Schizosaccharomyces pombe: one gene and its partner. The protein of the gene in region 2 purifies or fractionates together with the protein of the main gene of each other region. This does not show direct contact. Each region holds a gene or a part of one and is shown on either strand. Other genes may lie near its edges.

What was found. Proteins that work in one complex are often made in the same cells at the same time.
Region 1: the proteins of bgs4 (region 2) and apl3 purify together in Schizosaccharomyces pombe (co-purification; one study listed by BioGRID). This does not show direct contact.

What each region holds. Positions count from the first base shown.
Region 1 is NC_003423.3:1,422,701-1,430,197, forward strand, and holds apl3 (AP-2 adaptor complex subunit Alp3), read right to left. Parts: upstream 4,748-7,497; 5' UTR 4,607-4,747; coding exon 1,970-4,606; 3' UTR 1,528-1,969; downstream 1-1,527. Other genes in the region: drp1 (RINT1 family protein), read right to left, coding at 1-1,209; ATP-dependent RNA helicase Mss116, read left to right, coding at 6,089-7,497. UniProt on the Schizosaccharomyces pombe protein: Adaptins are components of the adaptor complexes which link clathrin to receptors in coated vesicles. Clathrin-associated protein complexes are believed to interact with the cytoplasmic tails of membrane proteins, leading to their selection and concentration.
Region 2 is NC_003421.2:2,252,014-2,260,232, forward strand, and holds the start of bgs4 (cell wall and secondary septum 1,6 branched 1,3-beta-glucan synthase catalytic subunit Bgs4), read right to left. Parts: upstream 4,640-8,219; 5' UTR 3,134-4,639; coding exon 1-3,133. Other genes in the region: SPOM_SPCC1840.13 (uncharacterized protein), read right to left, coding at 5,756-6,154.

The sequences.
Region 1 (7,497 bases), on a different chromosome or scaffold from region 2:
CATCATAGGCTTTAACTGAACAGATCGCCAAAAATTAAATTGATAATCAAGAGATGGTAAATTTTGAAGCACGGAAAACGTCGTCTCAATCATGTCTCGAAATCGTACAGTCATTTTCGTGGGGACCGCTGAGCTGAAATCATCAGACTGATCGCTTTCCAGCTCCCAAGCATCTGATGCAATTTTTATATCTTCCAACTTTGTGAGGCTCAATTGAGTCTCTAAACCCAACCATTTATCATAAGTTCCGTTTTGCTCAAAAAGAAAAATAATTAAAGGGTCTTGGGTATAATGAAAATGTTGCTCCAACCGCACAGAGTATTGTAGGGTTTCGTGAACTAAATGAACTAAATAATCATCATACTTTATTATATGCGTTAATTTTTCCTTTGCAACGTTGTTTAGCAAATTGATAAATGTAAAAAATGGAGGGACGCCGGGAAAAAATTTTATATCACGCATAAGCATGTAGAAACTACGATTAGAGCGAAAAACTTTTAGTAAGAACTCAAAAAACCATTCTGGTTTTGACAATACATTTGTTTGCTTCTGAGACATAAAGTGGTAACGAAACTGGTTTACATAGGGGGTAATGTACACCTGCATAAATAATGGAAGACCTGTTTCAGAATCTTTAAACGATTGAATGGATCGGACAAAACCAAAAAAACTTTCAAATTTTGATGATTCCTTCAAGTTAGGGTTAATAGCAGGCCAATTAAATAATGTCTTAAGTTTTTCGGTGAGCTCGTTCTTCCATTTTTCTTTCACTTCTCTTTCCTTTTTCTGAAAAAGTAATTCGGCTATGTAATGTAAACAATCAGGTGCAATTTCTGTCTCATCTTTCTTCGTTGACAATGTCGAAAAATCGGTAGAAAAGTCTAAGAAATTTGCAACAGTATCGAGAGAAGCCGATTTTTTGACAAAGGATTGATATACGCATAATAACTCAACTGTGTCTCGGAAAATAGGCGTCGGGTCGGCAGGTATTGCTGAATCTAACCATGCGTCTTCAAGCCCTTCACTAGACCTTCGAAATGCGGCATCTTCGCGAGCCTGCCTCTTTTCTTCTTCGCTTAAAATAGGAAGTGAGTTAGGATCCGGAAGCTGAAGCTCATTGACTTCTTGTTGAAATTTCTCTACTTCATCTGACTTATAAGGATGCCGTGTTCTTGAATCAATAAAATCAATTAACTGTTGGGACATCATCAAAAAGTCCTAGGTGACCCTTCAATGAAGTTTCAGCTGCTATTTGGTTCTTTGTTTACTTCTCTGAACAGTTTTGGAATAGTCAATGTGTTGGCACGACTTTATTTACGGTGCTCGCTAATGTTGCTAATATCATATAGTTTGAAGTTTTAAACAATAAGACTATTGCAATATAAAGTGAGTAGTTTTTATTAAACAAAAATTAATATTCAATAAATTGTTGGCTTATACTTCCAAACTTGTGATTCTGAGTGGGTTATATTTGACAAAGATATGCTGATGGTTACACTTCGTCGCTTTTACGAAAAGAAGTGAATTATACGATATAAATAGCAAAAAAGTGTCTCAATTATTCAGGTCTATATTACTTTTATTAAGGACATTAAGATTTGTTGGTATCGACTGCGCATATTTCGAGACAGAGTATTTAGATGTTTAATGTCCTAGCGTGTGCCAAATAAGGAAGAGTTTTTATCCATTAAAAACAGTATAAGTATTTTCACTTAGAAGAAGTTCACTAAAGCAAATAGATATAAAGAAACAAAGATAAAATAACAAACATCATTGAACAGCACTTCGAATACATTAAAATTGTATTGTACTCTCGTACTTCCAATAAAAGGGGTATAAGTTAGTATATAAAATAAAATTCAAGGTAAATCTTCACTAAGAGATACTCAACTCATCAAATGTGGACAGAGGCATAGGCATTAAAGCTATGACAATCAATAAAAATTTTTGAGAGTAGCAGCGACAACTATTAAAACGAATTCCTTAAAATCTCTTGCATTTCTTTTGCCAACGTATTTGCTATTGAAGTGTTAGTAGAACGAATTGATAGACGAATCAAATTTTGTTCGTAATTTGGTTCAATACGAAGTAAACATCCAACATTCTGTGTACCAAATCGAATAATTCCTGCTCCTACAATATTAAGGGCAATAGAATCAACATTTTGGCATATTCCCCAGTGAAATCCACTAACTATTTTTGTCAGTCGTTTTGCGTCAAGCTTTCTATCTTTGCTGTTGAGTCCGAAAGTTAACTGTGCTTCCCTTTCCACTCCCATTTGACCCCAATGGTTAAAGAAATCATAGCTGTCAAATATTGTCGGTTTCATAAATTTTGATAACAAAACCGGTAATTGGAGGTCTATCGAACGTATAACACCAGTAACATAAGACACATGAATAATCGGAGGTTCGAATATCTCATTAACTCCACTCATAACATATTTTTGCTGAAGTTGAACTCCTGATGGCAAATTTGTATCTTGAAAAGTTGTTGCTAAATGGAAGGTAGAAAAGGTTCTAATTAACGTTGAAGAGAGTGACTTCAACGTATTTGACTGTCGATTTTCATAATACAAATATATGGCGCCTTCTGAATTGTGATATTCTGAACGAACACCAATTTGTATTTGAGAATCTTGGTACAAAATTCCCTTATCTTTCCAACATAAACGATAAAACCCAGGAAGACATGCTGATATGTCATATTCTGGAACATCAATGGGCGTGGATGGTTTGGAAACATTGGGAATGGTTTGAGGATAGGTATCAACCAAATTTACCTTGCTGCTAGGACGTGACTTTGGATGCACTCCATCTCGATTTCCGTCTAAAAATGGGGGAACTTCATCACAAACCAATTGGAGAAAGTCCCTTGGCATTTTTAAAAGTTGAAGATATTCACATGCTCTTTGTTGTACTTCTGGATTTATAATAGTAGAATATTCCTGAAAAACCTTCGCAATTCTATCGTTCAATTCAGGCTGCAAATTTGCCAGTTTGATTAAAGTGGTTAAAAGCAGAACCCTCGTACTGGGAGAAGAAACATTCAGCTTACGATAAATTGTAGAAAACTGATGAACAGGTTGGCTGTCCGGGTAATCGGTAATTAAATGCCCAAATTCACCAAGAACATAACCTCCAGCTTTGACTAAGCATTCATGAATCGTTTCAGACTGTAGTAAGCTGAATAGCCGTTTGGTAGCATATTCCTGGATTTCTTCGTTGTTCACAATGACATGAACTAGCTGATGCCAGACGCCATCATCAGCGGATTTTCCAGCTATCCGAAGCAGTTGTATAGTAACATCGACATACCATTCATAGTCGGTAGCAAAGGTCTCTGAAATTATGGCAACCTTAGAAATAAGATCCTCCTGAGTTACTGAGTCAAGATGTGGTAAATACTGCAATAAATCGGCAACGATGAGTTTAGCATTTTCCTCGTCACACATCATATACAAGAGTTCTAAACTTTTTTTTCTAAGGGAAACATCCTTGTACCTCAAAGAGGATAATATTAATTCCTTATAATGCTTTAAAGAAGTGATAGAATGTCCGCATGAAATTAGATAGGCAGTCGTCTCAAAAGCCAAATACCGAATATTGCTTTCTTTATCAGCGATCATGTCAGCAAGTCTGTCCATACATTTTTCGTACAAAGAATGAGATTCGTCGACTAGAAAAGCCAGTTTGATGGCTTCGAAAAGGATAGCATTCACCGCATTTACTTGTTGTACGTTTGAGTTATCATTTGGCAAACTAAGGATTCGATCTAGTACACGTATTAGAGTTGCCCTTGTGGGATTGTCCGAAGGCCTTTCGCAAGCAAGTAGAATACGACAAAGATTAACCTGTAGCCAAGGGCAAGGTACAGAATAATACAAATAGTCACTTGAATAACCGTGTTCAAAAACTATGTTCTTCAGTTTACCAACCGCTTTTCCATAAGCAAATTTTTGATATTTTGGCTCCCGAATTACGATTAAATTAACAAAATTAGAGACCGCCAACGAAACGTTAAGGTCATCATCACCTAGTATCATAACTATCGGCTCAAACCATTCTGGGTTGATTAGATCCGGAAACTTTCGATAAATATGTAGGAGAGCTAAGGCAGATTTCTGACGAACAATATTTTCGTTGCTTGCCGACATTAGAAGTTTATAGATGTCGTAGTACACGGTTTCACATAATTCTCGGCCACCAATGTTGGCTATTGTATGCAAGGCCAACGAATTTTGTAAAGAGTCATGACTCAAAAGATCTTTTTTAATACTATTTATAACCAACTTCATCAACTCATGGTTCTCGTTTAGCAACAAAGCAACTGCCAAATAACCAATGAGTTTTTCACTATACTTCGTCCCTGAAAGGAGTTTTGCAGCTTCCATATGGCCAAAAGTGATGGGATAACCCAGCATATATATATATAAAAGCTTGCTGACATATTTTTTTCGGTCATACGCAGATAAAGTAGAACTTTGAAACTTTGCACGAATTTTAGCCAATTCAACATTTACACGTTTCTCTTCATCGTCATGCTCTAAACTTCTCAAATCCGAGATAAACGCTCGAAGCCCTTTCATATTGTTGCTAGCCACCATTTTTTACTATTTGTATACTTTGTGAGCAATCACACTTTTATCGGTATTGTAACATGCAATATTCTTATAAACTCAACCCAAAAGATTCATTACAATGGCACTATATCCAAATACCCACCAATTGAGCTTTTGGCTTAGAACAAACAAAGTTGTAAGAAGCGACGCGCTGTTCAAACAATACTTTTTCGTATTAACTTCATTTTCGTTAATAGAAATTATCGTAGGGGGACGTAGCCCATGATTTTCAAAACAACGTACTACCTAGTATTACTTTATATACCAAAGTAAACAAAAGATTAATTTTTAGAAAAAACGTGATGAATGCAAAGCCGGGTAATGGAACTGAATAGAAAATGCTTTCATCTGTTTCATACAAACACATGTGCCTAAAATATTCGACTTGGGTTTGCGTGGATGAGAAAATTAATTTATGAGCATCAGTACAAAACATTTCATTTAGAGCAGCCATCCAATATTGAATTTAAGCATATTTTGCTGTGTTCTTACTTTTTACAGAAAACTCAAAACATTTTCTAGCTTCAAGGTGTCTCTCAAACGATAAATCTGTATTAAATAGTTAGCAGGTAAGCCGATTCCGAGTGAAATGGATTAAATCATATTATACATGAAGCCGTAATAATTCCGGATACTGAAGGGCCTTTGACTTTTTTTCAACAATTGGAATATCAATTGGTTTTGACAAGTCTTATTTTGCTTTTGGAGGCTAATTTCTCCCATTAAAGAAGCAAAACGAAGTATCATTAAATTATAACGTGTCTAATAATTTTAGTCTTCACGCTTTGTTTCATAAAAACGATTTTGTTTGCATGGGGCAACTATGCAAGCAAACCAGTTATTTTTTTTATAGACTTTGTTGTCTCAATAATCTTTTCTTTCAGGTTGTATCTTCCCACTTTTTTTTCAATAAAATTGGACTTAAAATATGGCTGAAATAAAATGAACCAGTTATTTTATAAGAATTGTAACAAAATAAGATGCATTTGGAACTTGGAAAAAACAATCAATTCTTTCAAATTTTGAACTACTATAACTAAAGCTTGAAAACATTACAGGAATCGATTTATAGACATAAATTGAAGGATACAATTAAACTCAATACATAACTACTTTCCTAAAATATTTTTTTACATAGAATTATATATAACAACTCTTTAGCTGAAGAGTTCGTGTTAAAACAGCTGTCAATCTTGAATCGAAGAAAAATTGAAAGTTGGATTTCCTACATGAAATGACGCTTTAAACATTCCTTTTTTTTCATAATATTGAGGAAATACCATATTTACTGAAGATTAAAATTTTGTAAAATTCCTCTTAACTTTTTTCTTTGGCTCATGTATCCCTACTTCCACAACCATTATTTTTGGAACTTTTTTTTGAACTATATTGAGTTACAAGTATATTTATTTCTTCGTAATTTTGAGTCAATTGGTAATACAAGCAGTATAGTTCAGAAAGTCGAGAATGAATATCTCACTGAAAGGAGCTATTTTTTCAACTGTTGGGAGATTTAACTTACCCAAAGTTCAAGGATTTATAAGATGGAACTCGACAATGAAATCACAGCAACCAACGCTGTTTTCAGAGGTTGCTTCTCTTTCTAGTACTTTCAAAAATAGTTTGTCTCGCGCAGGGTTCGAGAAAATGACTCCAGTTCAGCAGCGGGTATTGAATGAAGTTTTTCCTAACGAAGAGAATGCTGTAGTGCAGGCAAAAACAGGTACAGGAAAGACTTTGGCTTTCTTGTTAGTGGCCTTTAAAGATGTGCTTAAGGGAAAGCCACGTTTGAATTCCTCCAAAATTCACTCCGTAATCCTTAGCCCGACAAGAGAATTGGCCTTACAAATTTTTGAAGAAGCTAGAAAATTGACTTATGGGACGGGAATCCGCGTTTCTTATGCCATTGGCGGAAACTCAAAGATGAGAGAGGAAAATGCAATTCGTCGTGGTAATGCCAATCTTCTGATTGCAACTCCTGGGCGTTTGGAAGATCACCTTCAGAATCCAAGGATTCTTGAATCTTTATCTACTGACTCTTTCATTTTGGATGAAGCTGACCGTTTAATGGATATGGGGTTTGCTGAGTCAATTTTGAACATTCATGAAGCTGTCACAACTACTAAGACCAGGAAGTTGTGTTTTAGTGCAACAATGCCGCCAAAAGTCTCTAACGTTTTTCGTGGAATTCTTGGGACTGATTTTAAGCTCATAAACTGTCTGGATCCAAACGAGCCTCCTACGCATGAGCGTGTGCCCCAATTTGTTATAGAAACCAAGCTCGATAAGGTATTCTCTTCTTCTCTCTCACTTTTACAACAACTCACTTCTTCAAATCCCTCAAGTCGTATTATCGTTTTTCTTCCCACCATAAGCATGGTTGACTTTGTTGGCGGAGTTTTAGAAAATCATTTGAAGATTCCTTGCTTTATTTTACATTCCGGTTTAACTACTGCGCAGCGTAGATCTATTACAGAAAGCTTTAGGAAATGTCAAAGTGGTATTTTATTTGCTACAGATGTTGTCGCACGGGGAATGGATTTCCCTAACATTACCCAGGTTGTCCAAATAACTGGTCCTAGCAATACCGATGATTACATTCATCGAATTGGACGTACGGGTAGGGCTGGTAAAACAGGAGAGGCATATTTAATTCTTCTGGAACAAGAGAAACCTTTTTTAAATAGTATCAAACATTTACCTTTAAAACGGGCAACTATCGAGCCCTTATCAGATCAAGCTCTCTCAACTTTGAGGTCGGATATTGAAAAGTCATCGAAATTTTCCCGTACAAATGCTTTGAAAACTCTGTATGGGTCTAAACCTCATGTCTTCTCTGGTTCGTCCCAAAGACGAGCCACCGGTAAGAACATTCA
Region 2 (8,219 bases):
TACCACCAAACATTTGAACGATTTCGGGGTTTTCAACACGATATAAAAGCTTGATAGCTCTGCTATAGTTCATAAAACCGCTGATAGTACGATACAACGTTTGACTTCTTAAGGAAGCCCAAATACGGGTACGTAACGTATACTCGGGCATAGCAGATTTGAAACCAATACAGTAAAAAGGAAGATCATCAACTTTACTTTTATATGTACCTTCCTTTTCAGAGACAGAATCATTTTCATATGGAGCATTTTCCTCTACCAGAATCTTAGTATCCTTCACAAAACAGTCCCATTCAACAGGATGAAGCTGTTTCAAATATTCTAAAAGGGTGACACGAGACAACTGGTCCTCTTCTCTAATGATTTCTCGCAATGATAGAAGAATTTTCTCAGCATAATGAGGAATCAATACAGTGAAAGTAGGCATGTTGTCAACAGGTACTGGTTCTGGAATGGGAGTAGCTAAAGATTGTGCAAAGAAAGAAAGACGACGCTCTGCCTCTGAATTTGCAGGGAAGAAAGTAGTGTGAACAATATTATCGTCCTGAGAGACAAAAAACGTAGGGGTTCTAAGAGTCCTACGTCCTTCTTCAGCTGGAACTTGATGATACAGAAGACGTTGTACATGATCAATGGAAAGTAAATGTTCACGATACATAGAAATGACAATCGCATTCCAAATTTGTGAAATTAAAATTTTAGGTTTGTACTTAATTTCCATGTCATTCGTGGCCAAAATTTTACCATAAATTCTTTGGGGCATACGGCTAAAGATATTTCTCCATGGTGTGAGGATCGAAATACCTAAGACGAATGATCTTAAAACAGAGAAGATAGTATTGAAAATAATATACCAAAGGTACGTATCCAAAAAGAAGAGAATCAAGTCAGTAAAATACATGATACCCAAAATGATCCTTGGTTGGACAAAACATAATCTGCTACCCGCCCAATAAATAGAGCAAAGATAAGGTCGCATGGTACTCAAAACAATAATAGGATCTCTGATAGACAAGGTAAGGAAGAAATAAGATTCAGCAAATTTGCATGTGAAAACACAGACCCAAATAATAACAGAGAGTGCTTGGTTATCAAATTTTAATGGTGCAAAATTTGAAGTGAAATACTTGTTTGCCAAGTATTTACGAGAATCTTTCACGGACAATTTTCCAAATGTACTTTGTAGAGGTACAAGAGAAAAGTAGACGTATGTAGCAATAGACATCAAAAATGCAACTACACCAACAGCGATACGTCGACCACTACGCTGTTGATGCTTACTTGAGAAACCGAAGATATAGACGATAGGAATCAAGTTAATGATAGCGATTAAAACAATGATACATAAACGCTTCCAAATGGGTTTTGATCCAGGGAAACGACGGGGGACAAAAAGATATTCACACAAAGAAGCAGCAGCCATGATAATACAAGAAACAACAGAGGTACAAGCAACAGCAGCCCATTGGGAAGCACCTGTTGGCTTGGGACCATCGCGCTGATGGAAAGGTTTTGTGTAAAGAGTAGGAGAGTTGAAAGCAGTAAAATACCAAAACATACCAAAGTGGATGACCCAAATACGATTGAAATTGGTAATAAGATGAAACCAAGAACGGGATTCATAATAAGTTTTATAAAAAGCACGATTCCATTGAACTTCTGGAAGCCTATGAAAACGCTCAGAAGCAGGAATATCAATAAGACGAGTGCCGTCTTCAAAAATAAGACGTGCTATACCCTCAGCATGCCAGAAAAGTTGGTTAATATCATCGTATCCAATTAACTGGTCATGTGGACGTTCCCGACGTACATATTTCCCATTGATAATTTCAAACTGCTGATCGTGCATATATTGGTAGAGTGGGGAAACAATATTATCCAAGTAATATCCTTCAGGAACTGGTTCAGTGACGTTTTGTGCCTCAGGTGAAATAATATAATCGTAAGCACATTTGAAAAGGAAGGCTATTACCTCAGGCATGAAACGAACATTGTTTGCCTCACCCCACAACAAAAGCCACAATGCAATTTGTTGAGCACGCTCGAATTGAGTCATTGAGCGCATGTGAGATCTCCAACGATATTCGGCGGATTCTAAAGAATCATCGGTATTAACATCAATGTATTCGTCTTCCGCCTCCTCGGGTTGCTCCTTTTTCTTCTTGCGCTTGAAGCGAGACTTCCTTGGAGGCTTAACAACTTTAGGGGCTTTTTTGTTTCGAGAAAAGAACTTTCCTTTCTCTTTGATAGAAGTAACTTTACCACCATAAATGCCAACATTAGCAAGACCGACTGCATCTTCCCGATCCATCTGAGAAGCAAAATACCATTTTTTATAGTTAGCAATATCACTACCAATATAATCGGCATGAAGCGTAAGCAGTGCTTGATCTGGAGTCATGCGAGAAGCACGAGAATCTAAAAGACACATAAAAAAATCATACATATTACGCATGGAATCGCGTTGGAAACCCAATTTATTGGTTAGATCAATGAATATGTCTTCAATCTCTTCCTTAGTTAAAGGGAGTTCGTTTTCAGGAGTCCAGGCAGGATAAGGCTCACGATTTGTGAGATTAGCGCTATCGGCATAGAATGAACCACTATCGCCATCCAATGGGGTACCTGAGCCCGAATTACCAACAAAAGAAGAGTTGCTAAAATCATACGGACTGCTACCGTAAGGCACACTGTTGTAGACGTTAGCCAACGAATCGGAACTAGGATCATAAGCGTTGTATCTACCATCGCCTCTCAAATTGTAAAAATTGTTGGCATCTGAGGGCTGAGCATTGTAATCTGAATACTCAGACTCGTATTCATCTGAAGGACGAGTAAATTTTCCTTTTTCAGTGGAATATTGATTGATACCTGAAGAGGCGGTGTCGACAGGAGTGTATTCATCTCCATAACTTTCAGTTACACCAGTAGGGTAATCATACCCATTGTAACCCTCTCCATACATAGAATCGTAGTCAGCCTGATCCAAAAACTCCTCATTGGAATACGCATCAGCAGGCTGGCGTTGGTATGCATTTTGGTCATCATAAACCTCTGAATCGTAAGCGTACTGATCATCCGAGACAGCATCATGACCAGTAATACCTGAAACATTTTCATTATTTCCAGACATTTTCTACTATGCTTAAAACTTGTAAATAGATTGAGGAATGAGGACTAATTAGAAATATGGTGAAAGGAGTTCCCAGTTAAAGAATAACGAACAGAAAAAAGAAAAGAATGAACAATTTCAATAGGAACTGAAAAGAGGGACTGATGACTTAATGCTTATCCGCTCTTGTAAGCCAAAATGAAAAAAGAACCAATTAATGGATGGAATAAAATATCAGAAAAGTAAAGGAAAAGAAATAGAAATACAAACACTAAAAGAGAAAAGCTTCAACAAACAAGATAAGCAAACTCCGTGAATGATCAAAGTGACTTATCTAAAAGAAATTCACTCCGTTAACAGGTTGAAATGACGATAACCGTATGTAAGGGTGGATAAGCGTCAAGTTTATAAATGGCGATATATGGGTAGATATTAACGAAAGAAAATTTCTAAAAAAAGGAAGGAATTCCCTGTAAAAGACTGTAATGAAAAAGAAAGAAAGGAAATAAAGGTAAGCAGATGATTTGCCAAAGCTTTGAAATAAAATTTAAGTAAGACAAAATCTACTCCAATGCGATAAAATATCAAGAAAGTAATGCACTAACAGATGCGTGTAAAACGGAGAATGCCACAAATGATGAACCCAAAATACAAGAGAAAGGAATATACAATAAATTTTGAAACTCGGAAAAAACCGAAGAGCTCTTAATTTTTTTCACGCTAAAATCACTGTATAAAACCCTTTGCAAACAGTACGTCTATTAAGACAAAGTAAAGAAGGCTCAATGGACAAAGCTCCTAAATACCAATGTCTGTCGATTCAACAGATGAAATGAAGAAGCCAGAACTTTAAGAAAAGAACTAGATGCTGTTGATTCTTGGGGATAAGATAACTTTCTCTCAGTCTTTTTCTTTGATTTAGATATAAAAAAACTTCAAGGGCACTCCAAAAAGAAGGGGAGGGGAAAGATTTTTTTTAAAGCGGGAAAGAAGCGAGAAGAAAAAGGCTGGTGGGTATAAACGAGGAGTATCCGCAAATGATCGTTATTATATGAAATTAGCAATAATAATAATAAAAGAGAAAAAAGGAAAACTTTGAATCTCTCAAAAGCAATATGAAACGAATAAAAGACCGTCAAAGTTCTTTTTACCACAAGGTATAAGAATTGAATAACGGGGAGGTAAAAGAAGAAGTAGAGAAAAAAAAACGATGAAGCAAAAACAAGTCGGAAAAAAAAACCGATGCCTGTTTGTTTTCACAATCAAGGAAAAACTTTTGTTGCAGTCCAGAAGGCAAATGGGGTCTTGCTCTTTTTTCAAAGGAAACTTGAAAAAAGCAGGCCTAGTTGCCTCACACGAAGGAGACTTTAATCGGGAGAAAAGAGAATAATTTAAAAATACGGATTGTTAAACAGTTTTCCCGATATGTGAATCCTATAGACGTTTGTTTTCAACCAAACTTCAGGACTACGCAAACACTTTCGAGATGTGTTGTTGGCGGAGGGTAGTGTTTGGTTCAGGAGAGACGGCTGGCGTACGTTGCAGGACCACCATATAAATCTTAACGAAACACAATAAAAATACTTAAATATTATTAAAAAACTAATATTTAAAAGGGTGACTACTAAGCCATAAAAACCCCAATGGAGAGGAGTATCGAAGTAGTAATCAGATGCAATTTTTATCAAGACAAGCCGGTCCTTTTATAAGCAGCGTAGTTGGTCTTGCTAAGTAATTCCTAATGTTGATACCAGCAGCTCGCAAAATATATGTATCAATTAATAGAAGGAGGGATAGTTGAAGGCAAGAAAGAGACTGCAGAAAACATGAGCTATTGAGATGAATAAAAAAAATTATAAAGTTAAAAAACTGAATGGGTGAATTACAAAAAAAAGACAAGAAAGTAAATAATTAAAATTTGTTTGATATAAAAAATGAGTACGATGGAAGTAAAGTTGTCGAATAATCAAAAAGAAAAAATATCTAAGCAAGAGAAAAATATGCAATAGAAAAACAGATCAGATTTTTTTATTTAAATCGATCGTCTTTCATGAAAAACTAGCTAATATTTAAATGTATTTTATTCAAACCCTCTACGCTTTAGCAGCATTAGCGGAACGAATTACGTTTACCAACATTAGGAATGTCTTTTCATTCAATTTGCACACTTATAAATAAACATCCTGCTGCTATTTTCGTACAATCCTACTATGCACATGCTTTCGAGCAAAAAAAAAAAATAAATAAATTAAAATTAATTAAGTTAACCCTACAATAGAAAGTGTAATTTTTCGGTTTTCACTATAGTGAAATTTTTAGTGACGGTTTCTTGCCATATTGCTAGAATCGTATGTAAAATACTGGATATGGTGTGGGATGGAAGAAGCAAGAAGGTGGCAGAAGAGAAAGTAGATAAGAAGAATGGGATAGAATATAATGGAATCAATGTGTCATTGGAAAATTCTTTAATAGTTCTTTTACGCTTTTTTTTTCTAAAAAGCTTCGAGGTGCAACATTTTTCTTTGACTTACTACCTAGAAACCAAAATGTAAACAATCGGTTATGTACAATGTAAACAAAGGGAAATTTGTTGTAACCATTGATCATCCTCTTTGCTACACCACTGATTGGGAAGAGCTGAATCTACAAGTAACGCTGTACCATTATTTCTATGACAACCGGTAACGGGCTCCGATAGGGTAAATAAACAAAGCTCGCTACGAGTAAACAATTGGTTTGTTTGGAATTGGCATATGGGACCGATAATAGCGGCTGGAAAAGGAAACGGTAGAAAACGTGAAAAGTATATGAAAAGAGCAGGCTAGATGAGATAGCAAAAGGAATAATGGGTAAGATAGATGGAAGAATAGAGTTGAGCGGGGAGAAAGATTTGGGTGGTGGGTAAATGAGGAAAGAAAAAGGTCGAATTATTGGAATGCAAAGGCTGATTAAGCGTAAAAGTTTTAAATCCTTTTTCAATGGCGCAAAAACTAGCCTGGTATATACATGGATGCATATTACCAAGATCCTATAAAAGTCCATTTGAAATTTCGCTCTTTTTTGGCTGTCCCTTCTACTAGGGAAGCGGCCAAAATTCCTATGAATAGAATGGGGAAGATGGAAAGGCCTGGTTCCTTGATATAGCGTGGTTTAATAGAATATCCTAGTAGAACATTGGGTATTGCCACAGAACTCGCAATGCAGAGCGGTGGAAAAATAACCGTGTACGGGAATTGAAAAACCATTGATGGAAATGGATGCTACGGGGATTTTGGAATGCAAGCAATTATAGCGAAGAACCGGAATCACATTAAAAAATCTAAAAAATTCATCAATTCTCCTTAATTAGATACTATACATTCAATCTCTCCATGTATTCAAATCTCTTAAATTGAATTCGTCTATTTCGCCAATTGTCAATTACGTTTCCATACCGTACATTTGAAGTAACGTTAAAAATATTTTAAAAAAACAAATTCATTCGGTTGCATGTTCCGATTCTAGTAGAACGATATTATTTGAAAATGGTTTCTTTCTTCTAGTCTACGAATTACCGATTTTTTTTCTCGTCATGAAATCGCCCGCCATCGGGAACTTAACGAATCAATTGTACTATAGCGTCTCGGTTTAAAGACGGAAAGGAAATTTTAGTTGGTTTGCTATCGTAATTCCCTGCCAAAAGCAATGTAAAACGGGAATCCGAGATAACAGCAACCCTGGGAAAATCACTGTTTCCTATACCGGTTTCTACAACATTATTCTATAACATTATCCAGTGAAGTTAAGACTAGCGGTGGTAAGTTAAGTCTCCTCATTGTTTACACATCGCCTTTCGTCCTGAATGCTAGCGAATGTTTTCAAAGAAGTTGATTTATGGAAATCGCTAGACATTCAAACTGCGTAGTATAACAAGCAGCGTCGGTTGGACGATACATTGGCGGAAATTTCAAAATTAAAAGAATTTACTTCTCTTGCTCTACTACATTTCCTTTTTATCGCTTTATTTTTCTAATAAACCTCTATTAATGCTCTTTATGCATACCTTTCTTGTTAATTCTATACTACACTAATCTTATTCTATCCTAATTCTGGTTTCCCGCCAATTTCAATTTAATATGACTTTATGCAAGACAAAAGGCCGAGACTTTATCCATGCAATTGTTTAAAATAGATCAGACATACTTACATATAAACGCTTCCAAAACAAGCTTAGCGAACAATAACTTAGCTTGCACTGGTACATCGGAATATTCACGATTATTACTAAATTGCCACTCATCCCTGATTCCTGTATGTGCTAAAATTTCAAATTACTTTTTATCGCTACATTGTTATGTGCAGCCTCGGATGATACCGACTATAATTTGATACTAACTAGTTTGTAATGATGGCATTCAAAATGTTAGCAATTCATTCACCATACCTGTCTCTACTAGTGTATGTAATTGTGAGTCTAATAAGAAAAATATGAAAACCTTAATGAGCATGACACTTTGTTTTCTGTTCATCACACTCATCAATAATTCAATGGGAAAACGAAATGTGAACGGATTTTAAGTTGCTGGAATGGTAAAATGCGTTCATTCAATAATGTGGAATTAAAAAAAAAAGACAAGAAAATAAAAACTTACAAATTTAAAACATACTTCATAATCCAAACTATTCTATTTTTTTGTGATTTGAAAACGAAATCACAAATTTTCCTTATACGAATTTACAATCCTTGTAGAACACTATGTAAAGTTAACGTAGTTTACAAGAATAGTGTTTTTTTTTGGTAAAAATTATCACTGTTGCGATAAATTAAAAAAACGATGCGCAACATTACTTTAAAAATTTGATGCGATTCATGTAATACACTACACCACAAGTCGATACACTCCTTTCTCCATCTGCCCTTGGGGTTCCCTTAGTGTAGACAGTTGGCACTTCTACTTTGTATAGTATCGCTGGCTTAATTTAGGTATTATAAAAGATAAAACTTGCTTCACTCGTTAATACTAGAAGTTCGGCCTTTATTACCATTTTTTACAGCCCAAAACATTCTTGGTACCTCAGCCTCTGACCGAACGAGAAAGTTGTATTTAAGTTTATTTACCTTTTTCCT